Styela clava: one gene and its partner. The protein of the gene in region 1 purifies or fractionates together with the protein of each later gene. This does not show direct contact. Links are inferred from orthologs where the notes say so. Each region holds a gene or a part of one and is shown on either strand. Other genes may lie near its edges.

Evidence for each region.
Region 2: the proteins of dynamin-binding protein-like (region 1) and bridging integrator 3-like purify together in Homo sapiens (co-immunoprecipitation; 5 studies listed by BioGRID and IntAct, counting the BioPlex papers as one, with this or other methods). This does not show direct contact. The link is inferred for Styela clava from reciprocal best matches to the Homo sapiens genes DNMBP and BIN3.

The regions. Positions count from the first base shown.
Region 1 is NC_135258.1:12,937,111-12,953,792, reverse strand, and holds the start of dynamin-binding protein-like, read right to left. Parts: upstream 7,641-16,682; 5' UTR 7,630-7,640; coding exon 7,434-7,629; intron 5,711-7,433; coding exon 5,588-5,710; intron 4,988-5,587; coding exon 4,772-4,987; intron 4,381-4,771; coding exon 3,973-4,380; intron 2,737-3,972; coding exon 1,290-2,736; intron 1,126-1,289; coding exon 970-1,125; intron 25-969; coding exon 1-24. Other genes in the region: E3 SUMO-protein ligase ZBED1-like, read right to left, coding at 12,548-12,970, 13,418-14,779. UniProt on the Homo sapiens protein: Plays a critical role as a guanine nucleotide exchange factor (GEF) for CDC42 in several intracellular processes associated with the actin and microtubule cytoskeleton.
Region 2 is NC_135256.1:9,883,492-9,899,330, reverse strand, and holds bridging integrator 3-like, read right to left. Parts: upstream 7,077-15,839; 5' UTR 6,689-7,076; coding exon 6,681-6,688; intron 6,302-6,680; coding exon 6,230-6,301; intron 5,695-6,229; coding exon 5,514-5,694; intron 4,672-5,513; coding exon 4,489-4,671; intron 3,978-4,488; coding exon 3,843-3,977; intron 3,572-3,842; coding exon 3,431-3,571; 3' UTR 1,967-3,430; downstream 1-1,966. Other genes in the region: protein unc-93 homolog A-like, read right to left, coding at 13,261-13,383, 13,795-13,973, 14,364-14,457, 14,538-14,711, 14,893-15,031, 15,570-15,690. UniProt on the Homo sapiens protein: Involved in cytokinesis and septation where it has a role in the localization of F-actin.

The DNA of each region.
Region 1 (16,682 bases):
CTAAAATGTTGAAGTGATTGCTTCCTAAAAATTATCGAAGAGAAAATTAGTGAAAAAATAGAGAGAGAAATAGATCATATGGATGACAACACAGTCAGTGATCAGTCAATACAAGGGGGCCCAAACTTTTCAAACTCAAGACAATTTACAAATTTACAGAATTGCAATTTCATATAAAATAAGAAAAAGTTTTAAAATTGATACACATTTACTGAATGCAATATTTGAGCTTTGTTTTAGTGCGCATAAACGATCATAATAGCTGAAAGTCAAACATGGTTAGCTGCACTTATTTTCCAACATTAGTTTCTGCGAATTTGATCACTTATTCAAAGTTTTTCTAGATAGGAAATCATTTTTAAAAAGTTGATATTTCATGACGCAGATGCATTACGGCGATGCAGTAACCACTAACCACCGGGTTTACACAATTGTAAGTCTAGATTGCATTACAATATATGGATCAGGTTGAAAATTCTGATGAGCTAATTAATGAACTTTTCGTTATATTTAAATGTTTAATTAATTTAGGCTTCCATGGCTTGTTAAGAGTAAATATTTAATATCCAATATGTACAGTAAAAACAAACTTTTAGGTGAAGCTGAATATTTGTTTGAAAATAAAGTTTTACTTTATGTTCAAGTAAGTTTTACAGTAGGGTTATTGGAGAAGTTCTATTTCAGTACAGCCGGCCAGAATACTCCTGAACTAACAATCTTGAATGATCTTGAATTTGATAATATATAATGCTTAGTATACCACCAGAATACTCATTCATTCAAATCCAAATAATTGAGTAGAATTTATCAGAGAATGATTTCATGTTGAAAGATTATATATACAGCCCAAAAAAGGTTAACAATTTTTACATTCTGAATGTAAAAAAATGGTAACAATTTTTTGACCCATCATGTATATATAGCAATGGCGAACGAAATACTGTTCAACAATAAGAATGCTTGTCATACCTTTGAGGTACGGGAGGACTCCATATTGATTTGGTTTGTTCTGGCGTTGGTGTTCTATCATTAGAGTGGGGAGGAATTGGTGGAGCTGACCTTTGAATTGTTCTGTTTGTTTTGATAGATTTATTGGATGCAGAAGAGGCATCCGATAACCTTGACCTAATTAGAAATAAAAAAATCAATAATTTCATTTTTCATATGAATGATGTCTATTAAGATTATGCCTAAAATAAATCAGTCTGATTATTCTAAAACATAGTAAGTAATTGCACACAGTTCAAGCAAGAATTATACAAGGCAATAACATAAACTTATATTCTAACCTTGGATCATCCATAGAAGATGATGATGTCGTGCTCACAGTTGACGAAAAATCTTCAGAAGTTTCAGTTGTATTTCCGGATGAATTTACAACATTTGTTGACCTTTTTCTAGGTGAAGTGCTTCTAGGGCGTCCATTTTCAGTAATTTTATCAGTAAAAATGTTTGTATTGGACCTAATTCTCCTAAAATTAGGATCAGATGGAACTCGATCCACACTTCGCTTCATTGAATTTCGTTCTCGCATACTACTGCTTCTATTAACCGCTTGACTGGACGTTCTAGTGCTGTCAGCAGCTTTATTTTCACTACACACTTCCTGAATTGCACTTTCTTGTCGAATATTTTGAGTAGTCACATCGGTGACTTTCCCCGCTCGCTGCCAGGCTTTTAAATGAACCATTGCATCTTTAGGGCTCGTATCATTCCGTGACATAGGATTTGAATTACTTCTGCGAATTCTATGACTATTAGATGGCGAAAGCGGCTGTTTTTGTAAATCTACAGATGTTGATTTCTGTAATGTTCTAGGACGAACATTTCGTCTGTCATAATTTCGTGAAATACTAGGTTTTTGAAACACAAAAGGTTTTGGACTTAAAAATGCTAATGATCGTGTTGAACTCGAGTCCGCTACATTACAATGTTCAGGTACAGATGACAAAACAGTGCTTTCATGGCAAGATTGTTGCATTTCAGATGATTGGGAACTATATTTTTTTGTTGAATCAGCAACGTCTTTTACAGTATTTACATTACGTTTTTCAGTATTATTTTTCAGTAACAATTTTGATTTTGAGTTTTCTTCGGCTATGATTTCCACATAACTAATAGGAATAATTCCATTTTTCTTTGATTCATTTTCAACTTTACACCACTCTGAGTTCACTTCTCGAATAATCCAAATTATGTCACCTTTCGTTACTGACAGGTCATGTTGATTTCTGCTATCATAGTCATACATAACCAGAGCTTTTCTCTTTCCACAATCCAAAGATTTTTGATGACCCTCTTCGATATTTTCAGTGGGGTCATGTGACTCAGAATTATCAACATGTTTTCTTAGGATATTCGTCACAGTCTGTCTGGCATGTTGGGTTTGAGGCTTCATATTATTAAAATTCTCATTGTTATTAACAATTGTTTTATTATTATCACAAACAGGTGAGTTGGCAGATGAAATATTTTTCTTATCATTTGACTGCATATCAGAATAAGAATCTTTTGCTTCAATGGTCTGTGATACATAGGCTCTTGCTACATACCCTTCTGCGTCTCCTACTTTACCCATGAACCAATGTTCATCAACTTCTTCATAAATAGGAATAATAGTTCCTTTGTGAAATGATAATTCTTGCTCAGATGATCCACTGAAATTATGCAATGCTTCTACAGTGTATAAAATATTCTTTACAGTTGATTTTTCAGTGGCGTCTTCGGCAATATTATCTGAAATTTAAATTAATAGTCATTAAAAAAATATGGAAGAATAATTGACAAAACGGGAGTGCTATTCATAAAGCATGAATATCATTTAACATCCATACTACGTACAGAATGGCTGCGAACATGGATGACAAAATGAATTGATTCGAAATTTATTATTTGATATTTTAAATTCTTTATTTTAGAAATATTTCAGGATGAGTTATTCGGACAGTTTTTACTTTTTAAAGCAATTGAAATGTCACAGTATGACTAAAAATGTCTTCACTTAATTTCTATAACTGTAAAATATAGGGAATCAGTCAATCACTTAATACCGGTAATAATTGTTTATATCAATTTTCCTGTATTTTTCCAAATTTTGACTTGTATGTGTTATTTGTTTGACATAAACCAATTAGGAATATATTCAATAATTCATATTTGAAAAATTTTGGTCATTTCAAAATGTATTCGGAATAGTAAATTTATCGGTTATGGTCATAGCTGATCTCCACACAGAATTTCAGAATGACGACAGACACGTCGTATACAGTATATTGTTATTATTGTAACTCCCAATTGAAATTCCAAATATTGTTACAATAGAGTATCACATACACCATTGTTCACTTGATATAATTAGGCTGGCATTGTATCAACTAGCAAAAGGGTGAAATTGTTACAGCACAGCTGATATAGGCTATGAAGTGAAATGTTGCATGCAGGTATACAACACAGAACAATATTGACTAATTATATTGTCCTTGTGAACTGTTAAAATAATATTTATACAGTCAATATCTATGAAATATGGATATAAAATTAGTATTTAATATGTATTTCCATAGATAGATACACATGCAATGCAAATATTATATCTTCTAAGAGTAGATATCAAAAACATAAAAGCACACACAACCCGTCAATCATTGATGATGTGTGCATCGGAGTATAGAAGTTTAAAATTTATGCCACAATAGAAAGCTGTTACACTATTATATGACAAATCACAGCCTTGTGCCTGATTATATTCACAGACATTCACTTCTCTAACAGTTTCAAACAAAACGCTTGTTTTAAATGTGTTAGCATTGCAGGTAAAAACATTCGATTCCAATTCCCATGTCCACAACCTAACCCAGTGGCAGCTTGTGTAGAACCTTGCTCAAAGAGAGAAAGACATATAAAACCTTGTATAAGACAATACAGAAACTGGATCAAGGATTTGCCAGGAAAATATTTATATTTTTTAGTTACCTGATTGAGTTTTTGATGAATCTTCATGAGTGTGAAAATATTCCGATTCTTTATGATTTCTTGTTAATTTGGTTTCTTTTTTAGAAAACTCAGCAGCAGAATAATTTCCTACGTTTACTACACTATCAGCAACGACATCAACATCCCCTTCTTTCCATCCTTTATTTTCATTATGATCATGAGAGACGTCGACAGAAAAATGATGCTGTTCAGTAGACGAAGTTTTCAAAGGTGCTTCAAGTTTGACAAAAGATGCAGGGAATGAGCCGGACTCTGACCCAGTCTTGCCGTCAAACCACAGTCCATCATCTGATACTCCAGTGATAAGAATTTCATCTCCAACTTGAAAGCTCAATTCTTCATCTAGCTGTGCTGTCAAGTTCATAATGGCTTTAGCTTTTCCCAGAACTGTAAAAAAATTGTCTATTATAATTTACATGACAAAATTTAATAATTAACGATTCCAAATAAATTCTACAGTAATATTTTTGAATGCACGATATCTTCTAAATTTGATCATGTGCAGTAGAAGTTAATGATAATGTATATTTGATGAGTTCAATACATGAAAGTTGAAGTATACAGTAATAAACATTTAATTTGATATAGTTCGCAAAAAATTATATAAACACCTTACTGATCATACTGTGAAGCATCAATTGCTTAAAATTATAATTTTTCAAACAAATATATATATTAAACTAATCCCAAAATAGTATTCATATTTATGGTAAACTAATTAGGGACAATAACAAAAGCCACATGCCTCAAATCAATTTTTCAAGGATAAAATAATCACCTTCAGATTTATCAGCCATTCCTTTGGTAGATTTGATCTTGTTTGCCGGTGGGACGACCGGAGCTTTCCTTCGCACTGAACTTTTATTGAAAGAATCTATCTTTGGTGATGGCAGTTTCGCTGTATAATTAAGGGGGAATATACCCCTGTTTGAGTTTCCGGAACGACCTGTACCCCATTCATTATTGACTTTATTTTCAAGTACAATTATGTCACCTGTGAGATATTATTCAATTTTATTATTTTATTTATTGCTAATATAAGATTATGCGTTTCTGCATACACTCACATAATTCCAATGAACTCAATCAGCATTAGAATTTTTTTAAATGTACCGTAAATGTCTTTTTTCTGGTTCTTTTAAGGGCAAATATAATTGAAGTTCTATGAATGAAAATATGTATTTAACGAGTCAATTTTTAATTTATATCACATTAATAAACAGAATTTTTAAAATGAATTTTTCAAAAGTATCATTACGATAATCCAATTTCCAAATAATTCATAAATTACACACAACTCACCAAACAATAAAATGAGGCATCTCTTGCATTTCTTAGTTTTAAAATGAACTATAATTAACCTTGTTGTCACTTGTAAACAATGTAAATTACTACAGTAACCACAGCATTATTTTTACAGTCAGATAAAAATTCCAATATTGGCTTAGAAATTAAATCTTATGTATTGCTATTCCAGCTTATGGTAGCATCATAACAAAAATTAGAAAGAACAACATTGAAAGGCATAATATAAAGATAATATCTAAAATTGAACAATGCTTGTCATTAAAAGCTGTCAAAGAAGCTTTGTTACCTTTGTTAAAGGAAAGATCACCATTCACCTCAGGGTAGAAAGCATCAAGTGCATATAACAATACTTCATCTTTTGAATGTTTCGGTAAGGCAATGTCCACAACAAAATCAACTGGAAACTGACCTGCGATGGTTTGCATAGAAAATATTAAAGAAAAACTATTCAGATAATATTTTTTGAATGATGGAGAATGCCTTGTCTTTATGGATCTCACCGATTAAAATAACGAGGGCTTAATAACCAAAAGAACAAAACTTTAAAAAACTTTTTTTAACCTATTAATAAAATAACTCCTAACTTATTACTAAAATACATTCGTTCTTTTTCTTGAAACCCTCGATATGCCATTTATATTGAATAAATATATTATACATTTATAATAAATATTTAAATAACACCAATAATCGTAGATTTGACTCAAAATACCAGCACACTACCAATGTCTACCAGTACGACATACCAAATGAACAATAATTAACAGGTGAAAGTTATTAAAAGCAGTCGAACCAAACATAAGTGGAACATTTTTAAGAGTGAACAATGGAGCAAATGATATAAGCATTATACACTTGACTCTTTCAAGTGCACTTATAAGGAAGTACGGTATGTTCTCGAATTCGGTATTTGTCTACATTAAGTCAGGAAAGTTTTGTTATTTGTGATTGTGATATACCGTAATTACTTTCTTGGTAGTAGATTGATAACAAGATAGCAAAATTGAGCCAAAAACGGAAAGTGCGAAAAGGAATATTAAGCGAAGTTTTCTGAAATCATTCATCTCACTGATTCATTGTACTCTTATTCAAGTGTTTAGAACAATTTTAACCATTTTAGTGAAGCGGAACCCAATGTAACATTCCAGTGGCTTGAGGAACCCTTGTGCAATACTTGTACGAAGAATTGTACAAACTATAAATGTATATAAAAGCAAAATAAAATGGTCTTCAAAATGTTCAAGTTCAATATTAGATGCTAAGTAAAACCTGAAAGGTATTTGATTATAATTAAAAACTATACATATGATAATAAAGACTCTCGGGATTAAATGTAAACTAGTAAAAAACCCTGGACAGGACAGGCTGAACCATGGTTGAAAAACTAAGTTGGATTCGCAGCTCGCCTAAAATGTAATAAATTGGATGAACAAAGCTGTAACAGACAGATTTCAGCTTTTCCATCCTTACTTAATCAATGCTGCCTATACAGACCCTTGTTTAATGAAGTTGTAAAGCATCTCATAAAATAGACTAGGGCCTCAATAATAGTGAAGCAAGAAAATTCTATTGGTACAATCTGAGTATATGAGGTCACAATAATTAATATGGCATTCAGGTTATCATATTGTCAGATCACAAAATATATACCTCAAAAGAGCTAGATCAGAGTTTCTCAAACTGGACTCTCAACCCACCTCGGGGCCAAAAAGTTCTCTGGGGCAATGAGCGAAGGCTTCCACTGAAACTATTCGCAAAGACTACATTTCAAAGTTAATTTAAACATAAATAGTTTGGTCATTTGACTGTAATCTATATATTATTTTAATCTCCTTTGTTGGCTTCGTACTATTAAATATTGCGAATACACCAACTGATAAAAACCCATCATTAAAAACAAAATTATACTTTGTTATTGAAGAGCAGGGGGCCTTTGTAATGTTGAATCTTTGGAATGGAGCCACATATTATTAAAGTTTGACAACCACTGAGCTAGATACTCTATACGCCCATCTTTGCAAAAAGACGCAAGTCTAGATAATTACTTGGCTACTTGTCAATGTTCATAAATGAATCTAAATTGGAAGTAAATTGCATAATAGTAATAGCTATAAATAAAAAATGATACATACCAATCTTTCCATTATTAAGAGTTAATCCTTTCATCCAGAAATCATCAATTTTATTGTGAACTTGAACCACATCCCCAACTTCCAAATTCAACTCATCAGAAACACTGGGTGAAAACTCGAATAATGCACGTGCAAACCATATTTCAGAATTTCCTGGTGGTGGCCTGAAATTGGCCTTACTCTTACTAGGGTTCATAGTTCATGATAAAAACTGGTTCGTTGAAGATTAAAAACAAATAAATGTTTATTTTATTTTTTTATGTAATATAGAAAAACAATAACCATGCATATAATATATATTATATATATTGAACCATCTAAGAACATGGTCTACGGCAGCAGTTCTCAAACTATGTGTCGCGACCCACTGGTGGGTTCGCATAAAGAATTTGAGTGGGTCGTGAAAAGATGTAGGAACCTTTGAATTAATTATACTGGTTATTAGGATCGGTGGCGACTCGAATACGGAAATCTTCAAAAAAACATAAGAAATTAAATTGAATTTAAATTCTGATCTGTGAAAGTTTCCTTTTAGGATCATCTCAAAGGAACAAAAATTTGCTACACAAAGAATGACCATGTGGCTTTTCTATGCATAGCAGTTTTGTGCACTTCTTGCTGTGTTTCCCTGAAATTTAGATAGGATTTAGATTTATTTTTTTTTGAGGAATAACACTATGGTTTTATTTTTTGAATAGTCTTTTGTGTTCATTTATCAAAAATAAAGTTATATTGTAGAAAATCACAAGATTTTTTAATAATTATTATATAAAAACCGACATCCATTGTTTTTATTTGTATTTTCTATACAAAAATCAAGTGACAAATATCATAATTGTGATTGTGACATACTGACATCACACAATCTTGAATAGTGGAGCGATCAGTCAAATATTTTGGCAACATCTAAGCGCAGAGTATATAAAAAATATGATCAGTTTGGGATGAATTAAAGCTATAAAAGGCGACCAAAATTGAAACCATACATTAAATATGGTAAAAATACCATACCTCAATACAGCTGACAATATGTTTCCTGATTATCTCATGCTGGTCAAATATTCTCCTAAATTTCAGGATTTTGAAAGTTTCACCAAATTTTGTTAATTAGCAGAGCCAAAAATGAATGGGTTGTTTTTAATATTTCAACACGATGCTCAAATGCTTGAAAATTAGTGTTATTCCAAGATATTTCCGCAAGCCATGATTAGACATAATCAGCTAAAATTTGATGAGTATTCAGAAATAGTTACACACAAATCAACAGATATTCAATCAAGGATGAAAAAAAAATCTTTAGTTGAATCAAACACCGAAATTATTGCCAATTGAAAATGTCTATATTATGATATACTATCACGAACATCATTTTATAAATTTGAAATTTATTAGTTTTTCTATTGGCTTGATTAAATTAATCTTTTGACTGAATTAATGATTAGGCTATAAATCTGATTGTTATGAAAAAAGTTGAAGTGGTTGAAATATAATTGTAAGTCTAAGGAAATTAGGTAGATGAATCACAACGAATGTCGAATGGATGTGTGAATCTTGGTATTCATACATATATCAACAACCTGACAACCTTAAATTTCAACTGGACAAACAATAAGTGATAGAGAGCATTCATAGCATTGATGCTTCCGGTTTATAACTTAAGTTTGATTTAAGTATCAAACCTACGTAGACTAACCAAGTGCAGTTATTAAACAAATACAGCAAAGGGGGAATGATTTTTCAACATCAAAAACTTGAGTGTACAAGTGGCTATAGATCTATATATCTATATAATATTTGGGTCTAGTATAGTTTAGTACCACAAGTACTTCCAGTTGGCGTATCAAAATGAATTTTGCATATGTTATTCCTAACCCCCACCTGACTATACCATCTAAAAATTACGTCAATACGACGTCACAAACATGTCGTAGGGCTTGCCAAGGTATAATTACGATCGCCCGAAATGGCATCTGCACCGCCGATAACGAACTCGCTAGGAGTCGCTAACGCCGGCTATCTCTCTCCTATCGTGATCATTATGACTGGAAAACGAGAGAAATAGCTTGCTCGATTTCGGGCGATCATCTGCGCGTTTTGGACGATCATCCGCATACTTTGGTGGGCCTTATTACGCCAATGTGACGTCCAAATGGCATAATTTTTCGGTGACGTAGTCAGGTGGGGGTTAGGATTGGCATATGCACAAATTGTTGAGCCATGCCAACTAGAAGTGCATGTGGTACTAAACTATACCAGACCCTAATATTTGATTCAGTTTCAAGTTTCATCTAAACTTATTTTTCTATACAGTTTTAAAAAATTTTAGACCGGACTAAGCCCGGTAGACGAAAGTCGAAATAAAGGCCAGGTACAGCAGTACAGAGGTACCGTACTGGTACCATACCGGTACAGACGTAGGTATCGATGGCTCATTATCGAAGACTGTACCGGTATTCATAATAATAAGTAGGCTAATTAGGCTATCCGGTAATATAATACCGGTACCTGAATACCAGTAAATTTGTTTTCAGGTTTTGTTAGGTCATTTTACAACTTTTTGAATTGAATTTACAGATTTAAGGTTTTATTAATTTTATCCTGGACCCAATTATAACATTGATATCATAAGTACCGGTACCAAGAGAAAATCATTGAAAATTCTAAGTAACTAAACGAATGACTACGGTAGTACCGTAACCTCAGAACGTACCGGTACCGGTAGCTAATTTCCTAATTTGGTGGCAAACTGGCAATGGTTCAGCATTTCCTATTCTTAGTACATAAACGAACCTGCAACTTCTTTTCATTACCGCATTAATGTGATAGAAAATATTTTTTACTATGGTCAACCTGCGTTGTGTCTTTTTTTCCAAATTAATCCTGAGCGGTTTCAAGGAAAACAGAACTATGCGGAACGTAAATGGTAGATTCATACTATGGCGTCAAATGTATATGGTGGCGTCATACACAACAATGGCAATGGCATCCATATAAGTTTTCCTGACCCTTGACCCTGAAAGATTCTCCTTATACTTATGTTATCACATCAAAATTTTCAACGTTGATTTTGAAAGTGTTTTAGCGAGTTGGCGCCATTTGGTTGGCGCTGGTTCACATGTTCAAAACTATCATTTTCATTCAAATAATAAACCACGTGCCCCGTATTAGTACTAATAGCTAATTTTATGCTAGTCTCTCGCATCGTTTGCGTTATCAGTTTTGGATTATTGTAACTAAACTAAAGGTCTTCAGAAGACTTAATGACAATTAAATTATTTGATTTAAAACGTTTTTTTTTTTTTTTTGGAAACACAACTAAAAACTGACGGATATCACTTAGAACTACCAAAAAGAAGGCACGGTTTACAACCACGCTTGAATATCTGTCGGGGCGAAAAAAGTGTCTGCGCGGCGACATAAATTCCATTTTTTATGTCATTGTTAACTTATTGCTGATTTATAATTGTTACGTGAATAAACACATAATTTTATGCTCGGGGAAACATCCATACCCCGATAGCCCTTTAGCGAGTCGGCGCCTGTGAAATGGGGTATGTGTTTCAAACCATCATTATGATTTATCGCATACAACAATATGTTTTTTAAAAGGACCGGTAAATAATTTTAGCCTAGTCTATCACAGCTATTTCTAAACTAATTTTTTTATTACTGCAATTAAATTAAAACTCCTAGGAAGACAGAGTGATTATTGAATTATCTGATTTAAATTTAAGTTTCCGAAACACAACAGAAAACTAACGAATAGAGTTCAAAAACGCGAAAATAAGGTAATGTTTACGATCACGCTTGAAAATCTGTCTGAGTGGAAAAGTGCCTGAGCGGAAGCGAAAAGGGGAAATTGTTACGTCACTTTTGCGTCTTGCTGATTGGCCAATGTCACGACGTAAACAAGGAAGTCGATGCTCGGGGAAAAGTCCATGGTCCTTATTTTAGTTCTATTACGGATACTCCCAAAGTATGCGCACCCCTGAACCCTAACCTGGTCCGCAACCTAAGTTCAGGTTGTGCGCCATCTTGATACTTCAGGAGGTCCCTATTACGAGTTCGGGGACTAGCCAAGTGACTCCCGTAGTATTTGTACCCGAAATTATGACCTAACCCTAACCTGGTACACTACACATACTACGTTCCGGTGTCCGACATCTTGGTTCACATACTCCGGGAGTACCAAAATTTAAGTTTGGGAATCAGAAGAATTCGAACAAGAACACACATAGACTAATCAATTAGAAAAATACACAAAAATATTTTTTTTGCAGAATTAAAAATAGTCAGTCGATATCTGGGACCACGATTTTAACGCGAAATGTCGTTGATCGTTTTTCCGCGCATTGGTGAAATAAAACGCCGTGTCTATCTAAATCAGTGGTTCTCAAACTTTTTTTGCTCGTGGCGCACTAAGCAAATAAATAAAAATCTTGCGGCACACTCGTGAAAAAATAAAGCTGGACTTCAACAAATTATTCAGCAAATGCTAATGCGATGTGTGGGCCTGTTTTGAGAAACAATATAAACGAGGTTCCGTCTCTCCCGTTTTTGCTTTTAATTTCAGTCAGAACATAAAATACGTGTTAACAGAGTCATGGGGATGCGAATGGCTAGAATATTTTGATGGCCTTTGCACCGATGAATAAACATAATTTGTAAGCAGATAGCCAAAACTTGTTCAAACCTGCTTTCCTGTTACCTAACTGAACGTGATAGGTCGACACGGTGGAAGGTGGACGTCATGTTTACAAAAACATTATGACATCACAATACATTTATGCCGAAACAATCTTCCTTACTGCAACGACAAGGTAAGACAAGGTAAATGCTATATATAATATTATCAGTAGGGCTGGGCATTTTCGAATACCTGATGATTTCAGAATCGAATCGAATATTTTTTTCGAATCGAATCGAATCTCGAATACTTATAAAAATTTTACCAAATTAGCAACTACAAAATTACATGTGACTTTTTTTTATTGCAATGGGTCCTTCAGATACATGAAATCCCAAAAACACAAAATCTATCACTCAGTCATTTGCTAAGTTGTCACATATGATAAGAAACATGCTTCATCAATAAGTCAATGGGAAGGAAAAAGTCATATGTCAGAATTGCATTTTAAAAATACAAGAGCTTCCACATGTGATCCGGTGAGGCTTAATCTGAGCTCAGTGGCAGTGTTTCCAGCTGCAGAAAATAATCGCTCACTTGGGGTTGATGTTGCTGTTACACACATATATTTGTCAACAAGCTTGCTCAAGTTTGGATAATTAGCGTGTTGCTCTTTCCACCAAGTGAGGGGGTTTGAACATTCAGAAAGTACTTTGGAACTAAAAAATTTGTTCACTTCATTGGCAACTACTGGGACCTCAGTATCTGCACTGTCATCGGACTCTGATGATTCGAAGGCAAGGCTTATGATGGATGTCGATTGCTGAACTGAAGAAGATGAAGGTTCAGCTTTTTCAACAACTGTTTGTTCAAATAAGACTGTGAGTTCCAATTCGATTGCACTTTTGAGCTGGAAAAAAAAAGCATGTCAAAAAAGAAAACAAACTTTAGCCAGATCAACTAGGAATCCTTATTAAGTATGGCCAAAACAAGCAACATTTGGATAAATTTGAAATTTTATGCATTCAATAAATGACAAGTTTTGAATACAGGAATATTTTAGATTAGTTTTCTTATGGAAATCTGCGATTTAGGAACCACAATTGACATCAAACAAGTCATTGTTCACTAATGTTTATTATACAGTGGGGAAAAAGTCAACTCTATATCTTTAGATATGGTCGATGCAGATATGTCATGAATTTTATCTAATCCTGTCAATGCATTTGAAACATGAAGATACATGAAAATTCAATTTGACCTCATTCCAACCAAAATAACATGCTATGTTGTTTGTCATGTAGGGCAATTTTGTTGGCAAAATAAAAATCTTATTCAGAAAGAAATAACAAGTTACCTGAAGTGACTCCACAGTACGAAGTCCCCGCAGTTTATATCTGGGATCCAGAGCCATTGCCTTCGAGCTGATATCATTAAGATCAATAGGAAATCGCTCCTCCATTTCGCCTTTTACTTTTTGTCTGAACTGCCGGATTACCAAAAGTTCATCATCTTTCTCGCGTGACAGATGTTTTTTCAATCCCTTGATGTATGGATTCTTTATCGATATCGAGACATATTTTTCGCCTCCTAAAAGATCAGTAGCCTCTGCAAAAGGTTCAAGTACTGGAATCAACTGCTTGAAAATCTCCCAGTCCCCAGGCTTGATTGTAAGAGCGGAGGCTTTGGTGGCATTTGTGATATTTTTATTTCCAAGTATAGCCAAAATTGGCCATTGCAATTCCTGCAACCTTACAAGCATGTTGTAAGTACTGTTCCACCTTGTGGATACATCCATTATGAGTCTTTTGGAGGTGAGCTTCATTTCCTCACACTTTTTCCCCAGTGCACTGGTTGCCAATTCACTTCTCTTAAAATGTTGCACTAGTCGTCGAGCTGCTGCAAGAGGTTTTTCTATGCCGTTTATTCCCAATCCTTTGTTTAAACAAAGTTGGAGAGTGTGCGCTGCACAAGCAACACTAGCCCAACCAAATTTTTCATGAAAAATATCTTTGGCTGCCTTCATATTAGATCCATTATCGCTTACTGCTGCACAGACAGCGTGAGGACTAACACCAAAGTCATTGAGAACTTCTTCTACCCACTCACAAATATTTTTTGCAGTATGTCTATCATCCAAAGGTTTCACACTTAACACACATGAACACAGATTAAATTTGGCATCAACATAATGGGCTGTAATGCCCAAATATGCTTCCATTTTCACACTAGTCCAAGCATCGAAAGTCAAGCTCATATGCTTAATGTTTTCAAGAACTCTCTTAAGCTCCATCTTTTTTTCACAATATTCTTCCTCTACACGTCGTGTTATGGTCCTCCTGGATGGCAGTGAATAATTTGGTGCAACATGTCCCATTAAGCGCTTGAAATGTGTTCCTTCTATTGTGCTGAGCGGGCGCATATCCTTTACAATAAAATCCACAACTAGAGAAGTAATCTTTTCTTGCTGAGCAGGGAGGATGGGACGAATAAGTTCCAATTTGGACTGTTTACTGGAGGACTCGTCCAAATCACTTCGATTATCAGGGTTCAAACAAATAGTTACATGCCTTCTTTTAATATGGGCTAATAGATTACTAGTGGTAGCATGGTAACTAAGTTTGTCTCCGCATCTCTTGCACACGACGTACTGGCGTTCGTCATCGTCTTTGGCTGGGGGAGTAAAGTGGCGCCAAACGGGAGATTTCCTATTCATCATACCGTACTGTTGCCGAGTACCGGTATACAATATTCTAGAAACCCCTTTAAAAATACACAATAATTCTGCAAAAAAAGCACGCAAATTAGTCTTCTATACCTTCTCACTTGCAATGTCGGCAATCACAAAAACATACGCAAGTGTAAAACTGCCTGTCCTACAACTGCCTATCCTAACTGACGGCGCAACCGATCTTCCCGCATTCTGAACAAATTACGCGCCATAAAAGCGTGCGTGACAAAATCACGCCGGCGTAGCACGTGCGAGAGATAATATGAGAGAGAAGCTCGGCCGTTTGTCCTGCTCACAGCTGAGAGCAGAGAGAGGGCTTTGGAGAGGTGCAAGTCTGGACATGTTCAAACGCCGCCTACAGATGTGAAAGAAATAAAAAAAAAAAAAAAAACAGCGATCGAAATGTCCCGCCGAGAGATGGCTCCACAAAAAAAAAATCGTTAAATCGCCTCGACCATTGGTGGACAGAAAAAAAAAACAAGATGGCGGCGATTCGGAATTCCCGTCTGAACCGATTCGAATAATTTACTATTCGATTCGATTCGAATATTCGATTCGAAATGCCCAGCCCTAATTATCAGTGCAATTAAATATGGATACTCAAGTCTCACAAGCTTGCCAGCTGCATGTATGCCTATGTGCAATACGAACAGCTCGTTTTTCAAATTTCCAAAAAGCTTCACGGCACCCTTGCTCATCTCTCACGGCACAATAGTGTGCCGCAGCACACGGTTTGAGAAACACTGATCTAAATTATAGAATCAAAAATAAATGTGTATTTTGCAATGTGCGAGTGAGGCAATTTCTTACCAAATTTGAATATGCCTTTATAATTGCGAAATTTCATGATGTTAATATCAGACAGACTATTCACGATTTCAAGGAAAAATGCAGTTGGGAGTTTTCCGAAAACATACACCGCCGTGTATATTTATGTAAATAAATGTGTATTGTGCAAGTGACGCAAAATTTCTTATCGGGATGATTGGTTAAACGAATATGTTCGATAATCAGAAAAAATTGTCTGGCTAGCATTTTTTACCTCTCCATATAAATCTTTGGGCTGTCTCTGGGTATAAGTAGGTAGCGTAGTCTCGCCGGATCTTGCTCTTCTCATATTAATGACCGCCTCAACGCAGAATGAATGTCTCATTTTAGAACTGCTTACTACCTGCATGGCGCGGCTACCTCCTTTAACCGTCTTCTCTCTCTATTACAGTTCCCATGTCCAGAGATACCTCCTATTCACCTTTTCCTGGTGGGGTCGCCTTCTCTACATCTCTCGCTGATTAGCTCTCAACGTACGGATTTCCGACTGCGGTTACGTCTAATTCTACTCCGTAGAGAGAGAGTTTATTTTATTTACTGATTTGAAAGATAAAAATAGCACAAAAATAGATAAAAAAAAAGTTGTCAAACTGTGCGTTAAGACTACTAACGCAAAAGAGGGTATGTGTTTCCAGAAATGTAAGTTTAAACCGGGATTTTCAATTTTGAAGCCGGATCCAATATTTTCATTGAAAGTTTCAGATAAGAATATGAATATATAAATAAACAAGAGAGCGATATGCTCAAATATGCGGACGCGAAAGCCAAAACAAAGTAGTATCAAATCTCTTACAGTTCCGGTAGTCCTAGTCCATTGTGGCCTTACCTTCAAATCACTGAGATGTGATGACGGGACCACGACACAGTGCGCAATTTTTAATTTTGGTGGAGTCATCATACAAAACTTCGACGTGAAAAACAAATCCCATGAAGACAACAAAAATTTTTGAAATACATAAAAATAACTGTTTTCGTGTCCAATAATCGTCCTCACTCACTATTCAGCGCTTCACCGCCATTACTGATGAACTGTTTTACTGAACGATGAACTGTTTTATTGTAA
Region 2 (15,839 bases), on another chromosome or scaffold:
GAAAGAACCACAATATCGATGTATACTTTCTATTTTTGATGACTGCAACCCTAACAATATGTCATTCGAGAAAAGATTGGATCAAGATCAGAACCATCCATTCACGAATAATATTACCTGTAGCACGGATAAACTTCAAAAATTTTCCGACTGTCCTACAGATAATGATGCGCATTGAAAACTAGTTCGAAAATAGTTTGGTTACTCTGTACGATTCTCTAAGAGAAATTTTTCATCTTGAAAGTTCCCTGGTACTGTATCAAAAATACCAATGAGTTGTTTAGCACGAAGTATGTTACGCGATCAATGTCCCAACATCGACATTCAGCAGAAACAAACAGCGGAAACAAAATGCATGTATTTACCCAGCGCATTTCGCGAAACAAAATAGATCATTCAACTGTAAAAAGTATTGATGTGCTTTATATATATTTTTATATTATTGTTCTTTTTGTCTCTCTTCGGAGATTGTAATCTTGCAATCATGGAACTACTATTTAAACTTACGTCTTTTTTAGATTAATAACTCTTTTGGCCACTCAATTGGTTTGGATGCCGAATTTATATACGAAACACATCTGAGAAATCGATGTTTTGGAATGAATGTAGATTAACTATAGTATGCGTCTAGTCCTCCGAAATCCGAATGACTTGTCATTTACTCCCGAAGTATGTGTTACCAGGTTAGGGCTGAGCCATAATTTTATTCCGATTTTTGTTATTTTAGTTCTATAACGAGTTCGGGGACTGTCTGTGTTAGCTAAGTGAATATCCTCCTACTCATATGTTTCAGTCCTTTTACACAACTTGATGTAAAATAGGCGAACAAAATTAGTTTCCTACATATTGGTACACATACTTGTGGAGTTCCTTTTCAATGTTCCAAATATATAAATTTGCTTCCGTAGTCCATGTTCTGTTCACTCTAATACCCAATCCGTATAATACCAGTCGCTATGGCTAATGCTATGGACAAAACGTTAAAAAAATACTCCGCAACAGAATCTATAGCTAAATTTGTACAAAGACCTACGTTAAACGGCATTTGAATAGTAACAAGTAAATGCACTATGAACTCAGCGAATAATGCAATCTTGCAGTCATTAGATTCATTTTTTCTGCGGGCATTGCAACTGCATGACCTTTGCAGTATTCATCGCTCAAATCAAATTTGAAATTGATGTAATTTGTTGAATCGAGTTACACTTTATTGGCAACTTTCCTGTATTGATATTTTTGTACCGTGGTGCAGTTAGACGCGTTGATTTTGCAAGGCGTCCAGAATCACACGCCGCGATATCGGATTGTCGGATACCTTACTCCAAAAAAACTCCAGCCGAGAAATTTTCATCTCCATGTGCGAAATACAGTTTATTAGTCTAAGTGCAATAAGATCAATGGAAGTGGTTGAATATATTTTCGTGGAAAGCTGTCAGACATGTTATTGGATGCTAAACTTGTGACGAAGAAAAAGAAGTCGAGCCACTTTGAGACGGATGGAATCCACCTTCTATCTATCAATATTTGTTTGTTGTCACAAAAACAAATGCACAATGATTGGTACAGAAAATAAACAAGAGTACTATACTCAAATATATGGACACCTAGCACCATATAATTTTGATGACGTCATAGCAAAAAATAAAAGTAATAGCCCTCTAGCAAAAAATATAATCTTTACTCACTGAAAATTTCAAAGCAATTAGTCCAGTTATCAAAGAGAAAAGCGATATCTTCAAAACGTGTCTAAGAACAACAACAACATAATATTGAAACGATCGTTATGTCCACTACGTGTCCAATAAAATAGTAAAGTTAGTCGCGCGACAGGATTCGCGAGGGACCTGGTTAGGTTTTCAAGCAGCGACACCTATAGTGTTGTTACTGGTTCAGTGTAAATGGCGCTCTGATGGAATTTTCGACTAGGAAATGTCCTTAACCCGCTTTCTTTATATACAAAAAAACGTTATCAACCAGTGTTTTTATTATCAATTACATATACAAAAGAATTATAATAATCACAATAAAATATCTATATCATAATAGCTCATTTGAGGGAGCATTCAAAAGGTTCACACTTGTTTATAAAGTATAATGAAGTACATCAAAATTTTTTACTCATTTTTCAAAATAAAATAAACGATGGCATGGTTTTCGTACTCGCAAGTACATCTTTACCAATATACAGATGTCCTAAAGCAGGAGGGATTTTATACAACTTTTGGTTCAAAACAAAAATTGGATGAAGGGAAGCATCAAAAAACAAGTATTGAGAGATTAAAAGATCAGATTATCAAAATATTCAACATTAAAAAAATAAAGAACCTTTTGAATGGATTACTGAAGAATATATAAACTGACAATGAAACAGCTTCACTGGTTGGATCCATTTTGTAGTAGCAAATATCTTACTTGACAAACGATGAAAAGACTGATATTTCAGAGACTTATTTAACTCTGATTTATTGCAAGAATGAAAATTAATCATGAAACATAACGCCTTGAAATTAGCAGTCAAAACATATTTATAATTTACTACAATCAGTTGAATGGAGACAACTTGCCAAATATTCAATGCATCAAATCTTAAGGTTTAAATTTAGCAGACCAACAAATAGCTTTGCTAAATTCTTGTTGGGTAGGGATTATTTTTATGATGAATGATATTCAAAGCGAATATTCAAAAAGCGACTTTTGTAAGCATCAGTTGTTAATATAATGTATAATTTCATTTTCAAAACTGCCTACAGGAGTGATTAAAGGTCAAAAAACATACAATTTTAAAAAACAGATTAAAAATATAATTTTTTCTTTAGAATAACTGCTAGCAGCACCAATATTTAATCTATATCAACTTTAGCTGTAAAAAGGTAAAATTATCTGGTAATTGAGTTTTCACAAAAATAATTCAATCCAAGAATTTTAGAAATTAAAATATACATCTCTTATACAATAAAAAAAACTGAAGGTAAAAGATTAATAAGCACGATTATATGAATACAAGGACACCAATGATAAGATTATTCAAGCCTACAAAAATAAAATAGTAGCACTCTGAAGCAGTATAAAAAGTCTGCTAAGGTAAACACAATCAGGTATCGAAGTAGGGGCGCAAAACAATCCAATTTTTTTCAAAACTTCCAATATACATTTTTAAATTAAGCCTGACAAGGAGATGATGGTTTGTGTCACACTCACATCAATATCAGGTTGTAAAAATGTAAACTGTAGCATGAGCCAGATGCATAACACATCTATATAATATCTAGTATTAATAAAACGATTGAATATAAGATAAAGTATACAAATACGGATGTCTCATTATGTATGCGAGGACAAATAAAAATTGATAAATACATCACACATACTACCATTTCATAAAATAGGGCTGGCAGCATAAAGTTCGAACCTAATGGATGCTGTTTAGTGTTCAGTCTTGAGTTATACTCAAAGCTCTGATTTGCTCCAATGTTTCCCTGACGTCTTCTTCCAGATCTCGTTCTGGTTCTCCATTTGTAAGATCGTTGAGTGCAGTGTTAAATAATTTATTCAATTCATTGTGATGCCAGGACTGAGAAAAAAGTAAACATAAATATTTTTGTTCATATTGAAGTGAATTTTTTCCATAATCTGAAGTAAAATGTATTTGAGTACGTTTTTCATCTGTTACGGGCATAGCTGAAGTCTTAATATTTTGTTTGAGCTGGGGCCAAGCTTACCATGCTATATGGAGCCGGAGTTACTCAAAGTTTCATTGGATCCTGCTAACCAAATAAATAAATACTCATTAACAAATATAGAGGGGTAAGGTAAATTGCAAAACATTGGAAACCTCGTTATACCTGTGTCAATACAAGAGATTCAAACAGAGGTTGTAAATACTGTAATCTGCTGTTATAAAAAGCAGGAAACTCATCAAGAAGCATGGAGTGCTTTGCTTCAAATTCATCCTTTACAGGTGTGAGGTCTTTTTTCAACTGAAAATTTGTACAAAATATATTTCTAGTAATGGTAAGGTATTGCACAACATCAAAGAAAATGACCTAACAAGCCACATTTTTATTTGAGATTTGTTGTTATAAAAGTTTGACTTTAAAATACAAGTTTTATGTACACCATATGCACTCAGTGCCTACCAATATATTGAAAAGTCGGAATGTTTAATTTTTTATATATGAGATGAACAGTTTACAAGATAACAGAAATACAGCTGCTAAAATGTTTTTCATTATTTTGTATTGATAATAGGTTGCTGTATCTGTTAGCATTAGGACATTCGCTGACAGAAATATTAAGAATTTCTAGTATTCTATTCAAGAAAGTAAATTGTCACTTTTCTTGTTGGTTGGTTAAATCCATAATTGATTACTAATTGCTTCCTTCACTCGTGTAAAGTGTTTTGAATACGAGGGAATATTTTGAAATGATAATTCAATTATTAATTTGTTGATCAGTTGAGAAATTTGGCTTAAACATAACTCTACTAACATTTTGCTTTTTCACCAAATTTGATCCAGTTTCTTCCTTTTCATTCAATTTATCAACTTTTGCCTGTAATCTTTTGTATTCTTGCTGACACTTTTCGTGTGATTTTATCTGCGAGTTGAGATGTGGAAAAATTGAATTATATTTCTTCATGGGATCAACCAATGTCTTCTGGATTAGCTGATTCTGAATACAAAATGGAGTCTACGTATGAAGTCAGATAGATCGGAGCATGAAATTAAAAAAATGCATAATATTAATAAATGATTAGTTAAACACAATGAAATATACCGGTATTCATGCATTAGCTTAAGTTGAAATTTTCATAATTTATAAATTCAATCATGTTTGCATCATTGAATAACTTTCAGTTGCATCTTTTCCGCAAGTGATAAAACCTTCAGTTGTATTATACAGTTTTGAACACATGCAGCACTTACATCAAGACTAAGGGGATTTCTGGTGCCTAATTTTATGAAATTAATGAGTGAAAACATGGATTAACATATTACAAGTCAGTTATCTGGAAAAATGGCATGTGAAATTGTTTGGGATAAAATCAAAAATTCATGTACAGGAAGTCCTCGGGTTACGACGGTCGCGACTTACGCTGTTTCGAGGTTACGAACGCGCACTCAATAACGCTGTTTTGACGTTACGAATGCACTCCATAAAAAATATAAAAGATAATACTGCACTGTACAGTATTTGCTTTTATTCATGTGATATGGAATTGTTTTCTGTTTTTAAAGTACTTTTTTGCATTATTTGTACATTTTATTACAGTACCATACTTTACAATACAGTTCGATATGTATAGAATAATTTATGTACTGTACAGTATAATGTTCCGACTAACACTAAAATTCGGGTTACACCGTGTCTTGAGAACAGAACAACGTCGTAAGTCGAGGACTCCCTGTATACTATTTTGTAATTGTCCATAGTTTAAGCTTCCCATGTAGTACATAGGGCAGTTTTGTTATTTAACTTTTTTGGCATTTTGGCAGAATAAATAATTCACCAACTTTATCTTGAGTCATCCTTCCACAATCACTCATTGTTTTCTTCAGAATATTACCACATTCATTCTCTCCTGTTAATGTGTTAAAGTCTGATCCAACTTTTGTAGCAGCTCTTCCAGCTACAACTGTAGCGTCTGCTAATTTTTTACCATCTTTAAAGAGTCTTTTACTTGCTTCTTCCGCACTGTATGAATAAAGGAAATAATGTGTTTTAATCTAATATATCATGGACAAATTGTTAGAATGTAATAGGCATTATTTTTTATATACCAGTAATTATAATTCATAATGATATCATTGGGTATGTTTGTAAATTGATCAGATAATACATATTTCATATTAATACTTAATTTTAGTTTGAGCTTGCACTGGGAAAATCAAATGAAATAACCTTTTTGACTACTGAGCAACTATTAAAAACTTCTGAAACTGGATTTTTTGATTCCAATTTCTGGATATGTCATTTTATCCCACATTGCATTAAACACATGAGTTAACACAGATACGAAAAATCGGATTGCTAAAATAGAAAAAAATATGAATATCAAATCTCATAGTTTTATCTGAACTTGCTCCAGATATGGACAGTCTATATAACAAGAATAAAAATTCATATGTGAATGTGATACATTCAATTATTATAAGGACTATAAATTAAGAATTACATAGCACATAGTACAAATGCAGAAAAACAAATTTTCAATTTTGAAAATACATACTGTTGTATTTTTATATATTCTCTGGCAACGTCCTTTTCCGCTGGAAGACTTTTGCGACCTTTAAACCAGTTTCTGAAACACATACAAAAAATGATTTTTTAACACAGTATTTAAAAGTTTTTCTTTTACCTCCCCCCCTCTTTCAAATAATTAAAATTAAAAAAATAAATCAATAATTAAAGCAAATATGTATAATATGGTCTTTTATACAGACAGTTGTGCAAGAAAAGGTGATTGGTAGGTGTGGTACCGGTACGGTAATGTCTGAATGTCCTAACAATTGTAGTCTAGTTGTACAAAATATAATTATTTTTAAACAACTTCTGAGGCCAGTAAGTTTGCGAGAAGACTGAAAATAAACAAAAATAATACGGTACCCGGTACTGTTATAAAATAAATAAATAACAGTACCGGTACCGGTACAATACCAGAATACAGCAATAAAACTCACAAGCTCATATCGGTGGTGCACGACCAGGCGACAGCTGCTATTTCCAGGCACAGACGTGCCCTGGTCAGATGAGCAGCAGGCCAACAGATTTGTGAATTTATAAACACCACCCGGCCACCACACTTCAACACTAGGCTACTGGCACTAGTTTAACCGATCACTGGATCAGAAATCGCACGTACCCGCCTACGTCCGTCCACTTTCAGACTTTCTTTTAGCTATTGATGAGATTTTTTGTCAAATTTAATTTTAGTGACAATACGGAACTTGATTAGTCTTGAAGTCTTAGACAAATCTCAGAGAATCTAAAACATTTGCACCGCTACCGTAACACACCAACCACTGCCATCCAAAGTGACTATAACTTTTATATTCACTTTGCTGCCCTTGGGCAACGGCCGGCAACCAACTTGCCTAATGTTAAACAAGTTCATGGACGCCATCTTGTGCCCTATTTGGGAAACGCGAAACAATGCAGTCTTATGGGAAATTTTCGTCGTGTTTTTGTACCGAATCGAATAAGTCCGCTGTTATAAGGTCTAGAATGAAACCGAAGGGTGGATTTTGAACTTTAAGATATATGCTATCTAAATATATAACGCAATTAGGAATAAAAAACTATCTAATGCGTTAAATTTGACCACAAACACAGCGTAGAACCATTTTTGGTCATTTTTTCAAAGATTTTATACTGATACGCCAATTTGAGGCTGTAAAATGCCTCCGCAACAATCCTACAATGTCATTTGTTCTTCTAGCGCAGCTTGCAGCTGAGCAATAGGGCATTATGGAGCTTGACAGACGAAAAATGTTAACCAGAAAATAGAAACGACCATTGAAGCAAAGCTGGTTCGGCCGGTAATTTCGACGAATAAATACAACTTTTCATCTGTGACGTCATAAGGAACGCCATTGTCAAATGGTTAATTATGACGATTAGAATAGCCGATTTACTTCGGAAGCAACTCGGAACCGGTATACTTGTCTTCAAAGACAATTTAATGTACTATAAATGTAATTTGGCCAACATGAAACAATATAAGCATGTACGGCTAAGATTCTACTTCAAAACACGACCTTCAAAAATATTTTACCTAAAATATTAGTGAAAATAATAGGTATGTTTCAATAATTGTGTTGGAACTTCTCATAAGGCGCCGTGTTAAATTCACGAGAACAATAGGCACAAGATGGCGTCCATTGTCAGAGCGTTGCCTCGCTTATATTATATATACGCTTTGCCCTTGGGCAATCAAATTATCAAAACACCAGCAAGTAGCTAGGTATTTCTGAATAAACACTAGTTGTCGATAAAGAGCAGGGGTTAGTTCGGATACCTAGAATTTTTATTATCTGGATAACGGATATATCCGGGTATTCCGTATTTTAACTATCCAGTCAACCGGATAGTTTAAAATGCTGCTAATTTTAAAGATCCGATTTCGCAAGATTTTCACGGCGAATTGACCAAAAACCACCACACAGTTCTATTGTGAATAGCTCAAATTCGCAAGATCGCAAAAATACGAATAAAAACTGAATTTAATTGTGCATCTTACTACGTATTTTCATATACCGGTATGCAGAATGCGGTGACATTTTATAGTAGAAGTGCTTTAATTTTAACGTATGTCGACGCAATCGAGAGATACGTTGAACAGAGTTATTATGGAAAGACATTTTAAAATGCTCGAATCAGCCACAAATTGGTTATTTTGCACAATAGGAAAATTTAGGAAGTTGAAAACATGCACATTACATGCATTCGTATACCGAAAATTTAGAAATGCCACACAGATCACATAGATTACGAAGTATTTGGAATTAAGTCCTGGCTTGTTCCATCATGAAATGCGTTCCTTCAATACACGCAATAAACTAAAAGCCACACCCGAGCAAAAAGCCACAAACTCACACCCACACATTCAATGCTTTTCAACCTAATTGGTGGCTAAAATATGGGCAGAGTAGTGTGAATAAAATATGTTATTATATGCTCTGGAGTCTGGGAGAAGTCAAGACGCCACTCAACAAAAAATATAAAAATTACTAATGCGCATATACATTATTTATATTGCTCTATTATCCGGTTAACCGTCATAATATTATCCGGATATCAGATAGTAAAATACCTCTCTGTTATCCGAATAACCGCTATCCGGATGATCCAACCCTACACTAAATGCGCATACATGAATTCACATTAAACCATTTTTAAACTTAAGAAACCCTATAACTAAACGGAGAACATATTGTCAAAATCAATTCATGAAATACTGTTTTCAGATGCGTTCGGTATTTTAGTAAAAATAACGTGCACATGTACCGTAGGCCTCCCTCCATATGTGATGAGTAATTTATTTTCCCGCCAATACTGAAAATATGCAACTGAGAAATATGCCGATGAGTTTTCATTGTTGTTTACAAGTAATAACACTACCAGACTACCGTTATACCTAGATAAAAACTGTGCTCACAAACAATTTCAGAGTAAGTATGTAAATTGTAAGTATATCACTTTTCGTTTCAGACGTTTACAATTTGTCAACAACACTAACAGATGAAAAAAAATGCTTCATGCTTGAGCTCTTAAAACCTAATCAACAAATTTGCTGTACATTGATAGAAATACCAAGCCAACTATTCAAGAATATCTTAAAAAAACTGGCTTCTGTGGAGTACATACTGAGACAATAAAGGGGTTTAATCAGTCTACTGTATGGTATACAAAGTTCACAATTACAGACTTCCGAACTAGCATTTACCTGCCGTGTTTCTACTGGAATTGTTTGAGCAAGGAGTTTGAGTGATGTCAAAGAAGCTCTTACAGATGTTAAAAATGAGAGAACCGTAACCAGTTCAGTAAAATCTCTAGAAAATACTGAACTATTAGCTAGCAACCTTTCAATTATCCACTCTTGCCTGGAACCTTGAAGACAGCCAAAATGTATATTTTTAACAAGTTATATCTCACACACAAGTTGAATAAATTCCATTGTGTATTCTTACCTGGGGATGGCACCCGTAACAAGAATGATTACTATTCCCAAAATGCTGAATTGTTATAAGAAATTAAGGTAGTACAGTGATTTTGTCATTTGCACCTGAGAAAAAAAAAACACTGGGCATCGGCGTAATCTATATGCTAATATGTGAGTGAAGCGATGTCTTCTATCTGTGCTTGGGTATATTTAGATCAAGGATAGCATAGCAAAATTCTATATTTGACCATAAACTGCCGATTGTGACTTTTCATAATTGGAACTGAGAGGTTCCAAGAAATCAGATACAGATTTTCTGCTTATGGTGTTCTTTAGTGATGTGCTTGCTATTTCAATCATATGAAACTTCTGTCCGTAATTTTTTTATAAATGAGAATGAGAAGTTCCCAGCATACAGATACAAGTCTTCTTAAGAAAGGTGGTTTTGTATTTCAACCAAATGATCCATGTACAATTACACAGCAACTATGATGATTGATGAATGTTGTATGAGCTCAAGCATGGAGGGGTTCTGCTGTAATTATCGGTATTCAAATCGTGAACATCTGAAAAAATGTGATATACTTTTTCAACATAAGTATGCCATTATTAATGATCAAAGCTATAACCAATCTTATCTCATACCATTTGCAGAAGTAAATAGGATAACTTTCATTTACTTTGACATACCGGTACTTTTTGAGCTGCTACCACCGGCACCCAAGGCACCTGTACTCATAAGCAACCATACCTCCCATTTCAACACGATTTTTTACTCAAATGACATATTGTCTCAGAATACATTTAGTTTTTTCCCAATAGTATCTTTTAGTTCCCGCTACGAAACACCGTGACATTCCAGTATTCATAAGAAACAATGCAAGACAGACCTAGTCGCGTCGGCCTTCAACAAGAAAAAGCAGTCGTCACCTCTTTTTGCATCAAATCGCAACAGGTCAAAGGTTATGAATGTCCCTTATTGGACCTTTCTACGAGCATCGACTTCCTCGTTTACTTCGTCTCATTGGCCAATCAGCAAGATCCAAAAAGTGACGTAACAATGCTCCCTTTTCGCATCCGCTCAGACACTTTTTTCACTCAGACAGATCTTTAGGCGTGGCCGTAAACATTACCTCGTTTTCGCTTTTTTGAACCGCTGTTGCTTTTAATGTCTTTCGTGTTGCATCAATTTGCAAATTCTAGACATTAAGGTGTCCCAGAATGGTTTAGCACTAAGTTGGGAACCCTAACTTCAATTCACCTTGAAACTGGCAACCTGGGACAGTCCGCTTCGTTCAGGATATGGTTTTTGCGGAAATTGTGGGTAAAATTTTTCGTTTTGGCCTCCTTGTCCATATTGAGAATTGTCTTCTTGTTATTTATGACCTCAGATGAAGGAAAACCTCGAAGCAGGCAAAAAACAACTCTCATAGGTACACATTATGACGCAACAATGCAAAGTAAAGACTAGTGTGGTGTACATTGCAGTGTTGCCAACTTGGGTTATTTTAATCTAGATTTAGATTATTTTCGTATAATTTAGATGGAAGAAATACTTATTTAGATGTCTTATTGGATTATTTTAGTATTCATTTAGATTATTTTGACAAATGTTATTTTGCATTGTTCTTTAGTGACAAAAAAGTGAAGTTCGTTTCACTAGTACCTAACAGTACATTTAAAGAGATAGGATTCCTGGATATAATACAGAAAAGTTTTCCAATCAAGATTAATAGTGTTCAAAACAAGGAGAGAGGTTAGCCGAAAAAATGTCCAGTATTGAATACTCTGAAAGTGGCGTGAACTGAATGCTGTTGTTATGCGAAAATCTGAAATCACGAAATACTGTTGTTCACTAATTTTACCCCTATAAGTAGGGATGGGAAATATAGAATAATTTACTATTCTAGAATACTTTAATCGAATCCAGAATACCGAATCATATTCTATTTTTATTGTTATTTAAGTTTGGGAATTCTCCCACCATATTGATGGATTATGAATAATACAAAAATCAGTTAGACCGGCTATTCTAAGATGATACGATAGCATCCATATATATCCAGTTATAGGAAACTCAATAATAGACTAAATTTATATGATCTTTTATATTTACAGTTATATCTTGTATTTTTTGAAGAAGTTAGTCCATGATCTAACGAAAGCTCACAAATATACTTACTATTTCGTTGAAAGAGATCATGTTATTTTTATTCTTCTAAATTAATTGCAAATAATATTTTAACATCTGACGTCTGGTACACATCATTTTCCGTGAGAACTCGGAAGGACGCAACAAGCTTTCAATTCTTTTCATGATAAATACTTCAGTTACACTACTTATGTTCCAAAAGACGTGTTGATATAAGTAATTATTATTCTTTACGGCAAAATTTTCGTTTTTTTTTTTTATTGAAAATGTAACTTTCGTATATTTGGATTATAATTTTTTAAATTTAAATTATTTTAGATTTTTTGTTGTTGAGATTCTAGATTATTTTATCGCTGAACAGTTGGCAACCCTGGTACATTGCGATTCCGTTTACTCGATATAGTAATCGGATGGAATAGGTAGATAGCCTACTGCGCTCGCCAAGTCCCGCTCGCTTTCTATCTTTCTCTTGCGCGTTTCACTTGTACAATTGGTTATCACTGACAAGATGAATTTGTTTTGTGACAATTTTCCATAGGGCATAGTTGCCAATCGTCTACTAACCGAACACCGCCTTAATGTTACTAACTGGGCCTCCTCTTTTTATCTCTTTCTTTGGACATATATAAAAAATCAGTCCGACAGACACAGGGCTTCTATTATATATATATATATAGCAGCTTGCTTTTGTTCACCGCTACATAATGACCAAATTAATAGTCCCATGGGACAAATCATGGCTTCGACGAATAGTGACTTGTAAATAGTATGATACTGAAGTAATATGTATATATAATGATTGCTACATTTCTTGCTGTGTAACTGCAGTTGAATAGCATTTGTGATGACCAGTGATTCAAATCAAATGATTTTATCACCGTTTCACCACGTTTTGACACTGTTTTTCAAACGGTTGATGAGCACCTGAGAATGTGTAGTCAACATTGTGCTATCCGGCAGTCGAAGAAAATTACGAAAAATTGCCTTGTATGATACCGAAAAAGTATTGTACATATCGAGCAACAAATATGCAGCTGTTTTCCATGATAGTACGGGAAATGATAAAGAGAGCCAGAGCAGACAAAAATGTTACAAATTCTGTTGGTTAAACTTTTTCTTCTGATTAGATCAAAACAATTTTTAGTTTTTCCAAATTCGAAGACGTGATAAATTGGTAAATTATTGCGCAGTCGAAGATTTACTGATTTTTGCGCACATGTTATGCAATTGATGATATATATTACTAGACTGGACTTTTGCTACAGCGCAAGCAACCCAATAATATCTGGTGACGCATTATGAATATAATAAGATTCATTGGGATATTCAGCTTATTACATTGTTGTAAACATAGTTTCAACAAGAGCGTGCGTATTTAGAGTATAAGTTATACAAAGATCACAAAATGTTATGAACTAAAGTTTGATTTAGAAAATTTGGACTTTGTTCAAAAACTTGTTACATTGTCTTCTGGATTGTGACGTATGTTGTCAAATGACTGTTTTCGTTCGGAATGATCTTTTGATGTATTAGCAGATTTTTGATTCATCTTCCGTTTTCTTTCTAATAACTGAAATGAGAATATTAAAATAATCCTTGCACCATAATACATCAATTGTGGTTGAAACGTATAGGGAACACATTGATGTTATAGTAAAATTACTCTACACTTATCAGTACCTTAATTAAACATAAATACAATCTAGTTGTCTCAATCATTTTTCTACAGTGCACTAGCATACAATCAAATTGCTTTATAAAGCTACTAGTTAAGAAGAAGTTTCCAATTTGTATTCAAAGTATATATATGTAAAACATAAAGTCATACTAATCAAATCTGGATCTGTTTGGAACAAAGTTGCGAAACAATTAGCAAATACTGGCTAGAAAAGCGAATGTAGGTCAGTGTTCACTTTGGATTGATCTATGTGGGGTGAAAGAATATGCAGAGAACGTAAAAAGAATTCAATGTGATACTAACCTCTACAGCAAGATACAAGCTCATTCCAACAATTAGAAAACTGAGAAGTACGTATAATTTGACGTAGACACAAACGTAACTTTGGTAAGCGAACGCAACAACAAATCCTATGGATTCCCATAACTTATAGTTTGAAAAACTTTCTTCTTGTCGGTCAAAGAAAAGTACGCCGTACAAAGCTGCAAAACATTGGGTTATTAGTAACTTTTGCTATAATAAAGTAGCGATTCGTGACGTTGAATTAAATTTTTATGTCTCTAATTCTTGAACTAGAGAAAGGAGTAGGGCGCTGATACAATTTAACGTCTGCCAGATTTTTACAGGCCTCGAATCCAAACAAGACACTGAAATTGTGAAAGCACCTCACAATAGAAAAAATTTTTTGAACTAGAACTAGAAGCTGTTTAAAGAAAATCCATTCCTAATCAAAGAAGTATCCATATCTCATATTATTGTATTTTTCGAAAATAATGAGCTCTGCCATTATGTAACAAATTCCTACTATTTGTTGAAACTCGATCAAAATTTAACTTGCATTTCAAACACCAAATGACAATATTTGAACTCACCGTTCAGCTGCGTTTGCCATACTGCATCAGCAATTCCCCAAAACGCTGGAATAATAAAGAAGGGAGCTGGACTCGTTGGGTAAGGAACCCATACCTGTTAAAGAGTGAATAAGACTGTACATGCTGTAATGTTCTGTAATTATGAATGATTATCATATATCAATAATTACTTACTAGTAGTGTGATAAATATCGCAAGAAATATGAGAGTTGACATAGAAAACAGAGGCACTCGACCCGTGTATTTTTCAATTCGTCCGAACATAAACGAACAAATAGAATCAACAGCTCCAAAACAAATCATCGTCAGGCCAATCCAGTTGACAGCAATCGGACATGTTATAAATGACTGTAAAATAATTGCGCATTCACTGAACAAAAAGTGATTTATTGATTACTCTGGTGTGCTGGAATAATGAATCAGTTGAAGAGCAATGTTATCATTTGATTGAATGTTATCTACGCAGTGCAAACTTCAGGATTTGATTTGAAATTTTCAAATTCTGTAAAAAATTATTCAAAATTGACACCTTGGTGTAATCACCCGTTATAAAAGCTTGTTCAAATCCCGAGTATATTGTGATGATTATCAACATTATTTGATATTGATTTTTCATATGAGAGAATGTTCCGATTAGGAGTTCCTTCGCTCCTCGGCTTTCATTGTTTCTATAAAAAAATAGCCATTTTTGTATTCATTTAAAAACAGGCGGTACATTTTATTATGACAGGTTTATGAGACTACAAGTTAATAGGAGAGGATAGACTCACAATTAGATGACGATACATTCGAGGTTGTGCAAAAAACTTTTTACTCGAGCGTTACCAATATAGTTCGTCGAAAAATGGAATATGACGTCGATTATTATTGAACAATGGAGAAATTATGTTCGATCGTGGATCATGGCAATGAACAACCCAACCATGATAGGCGCTCATTGAATTGGCGCCCTTGTTCCCGTATCACGTATCTAATTCAATTCAAGGATACAGAAGTACTCGCTAGTAAAACATTCCCGTTTTCTCTTGCCGATAAATTGAAACTTCTACTCTAACATTTTGATTTTTTTGAAAAATTCACTTTAGAAGAAGAAAAGAAAAATATTTTTCATGCTTAATTCTTAAACAACAAGTCTCGTAACAACTAGTCGTAAAGTGTAACAGTCACGTGATTGATTACGTAGGTTGAAAATTTCAGAAGTTTAACCTGATAATAATCTTGTCCACGAATAATCCTACATTGGCTGCGGCTAAAAAACCAACTGCCGTGTAGATTCCCATCAATATATAAATGGTCTCATTTGGAATTGCTTCGCTGGTTGATTCGTCTAAAATAGAGACTATTGTTTGAGAGAATGTTGTATGAGAGGTATATATTACTTAGTTCATCTGTAGAACGTGTTGCGATTAGAACTATTCTAAAATATGGAACAATTTGATGTAGAATTATACGATACTTAATATCATTTTCATATAA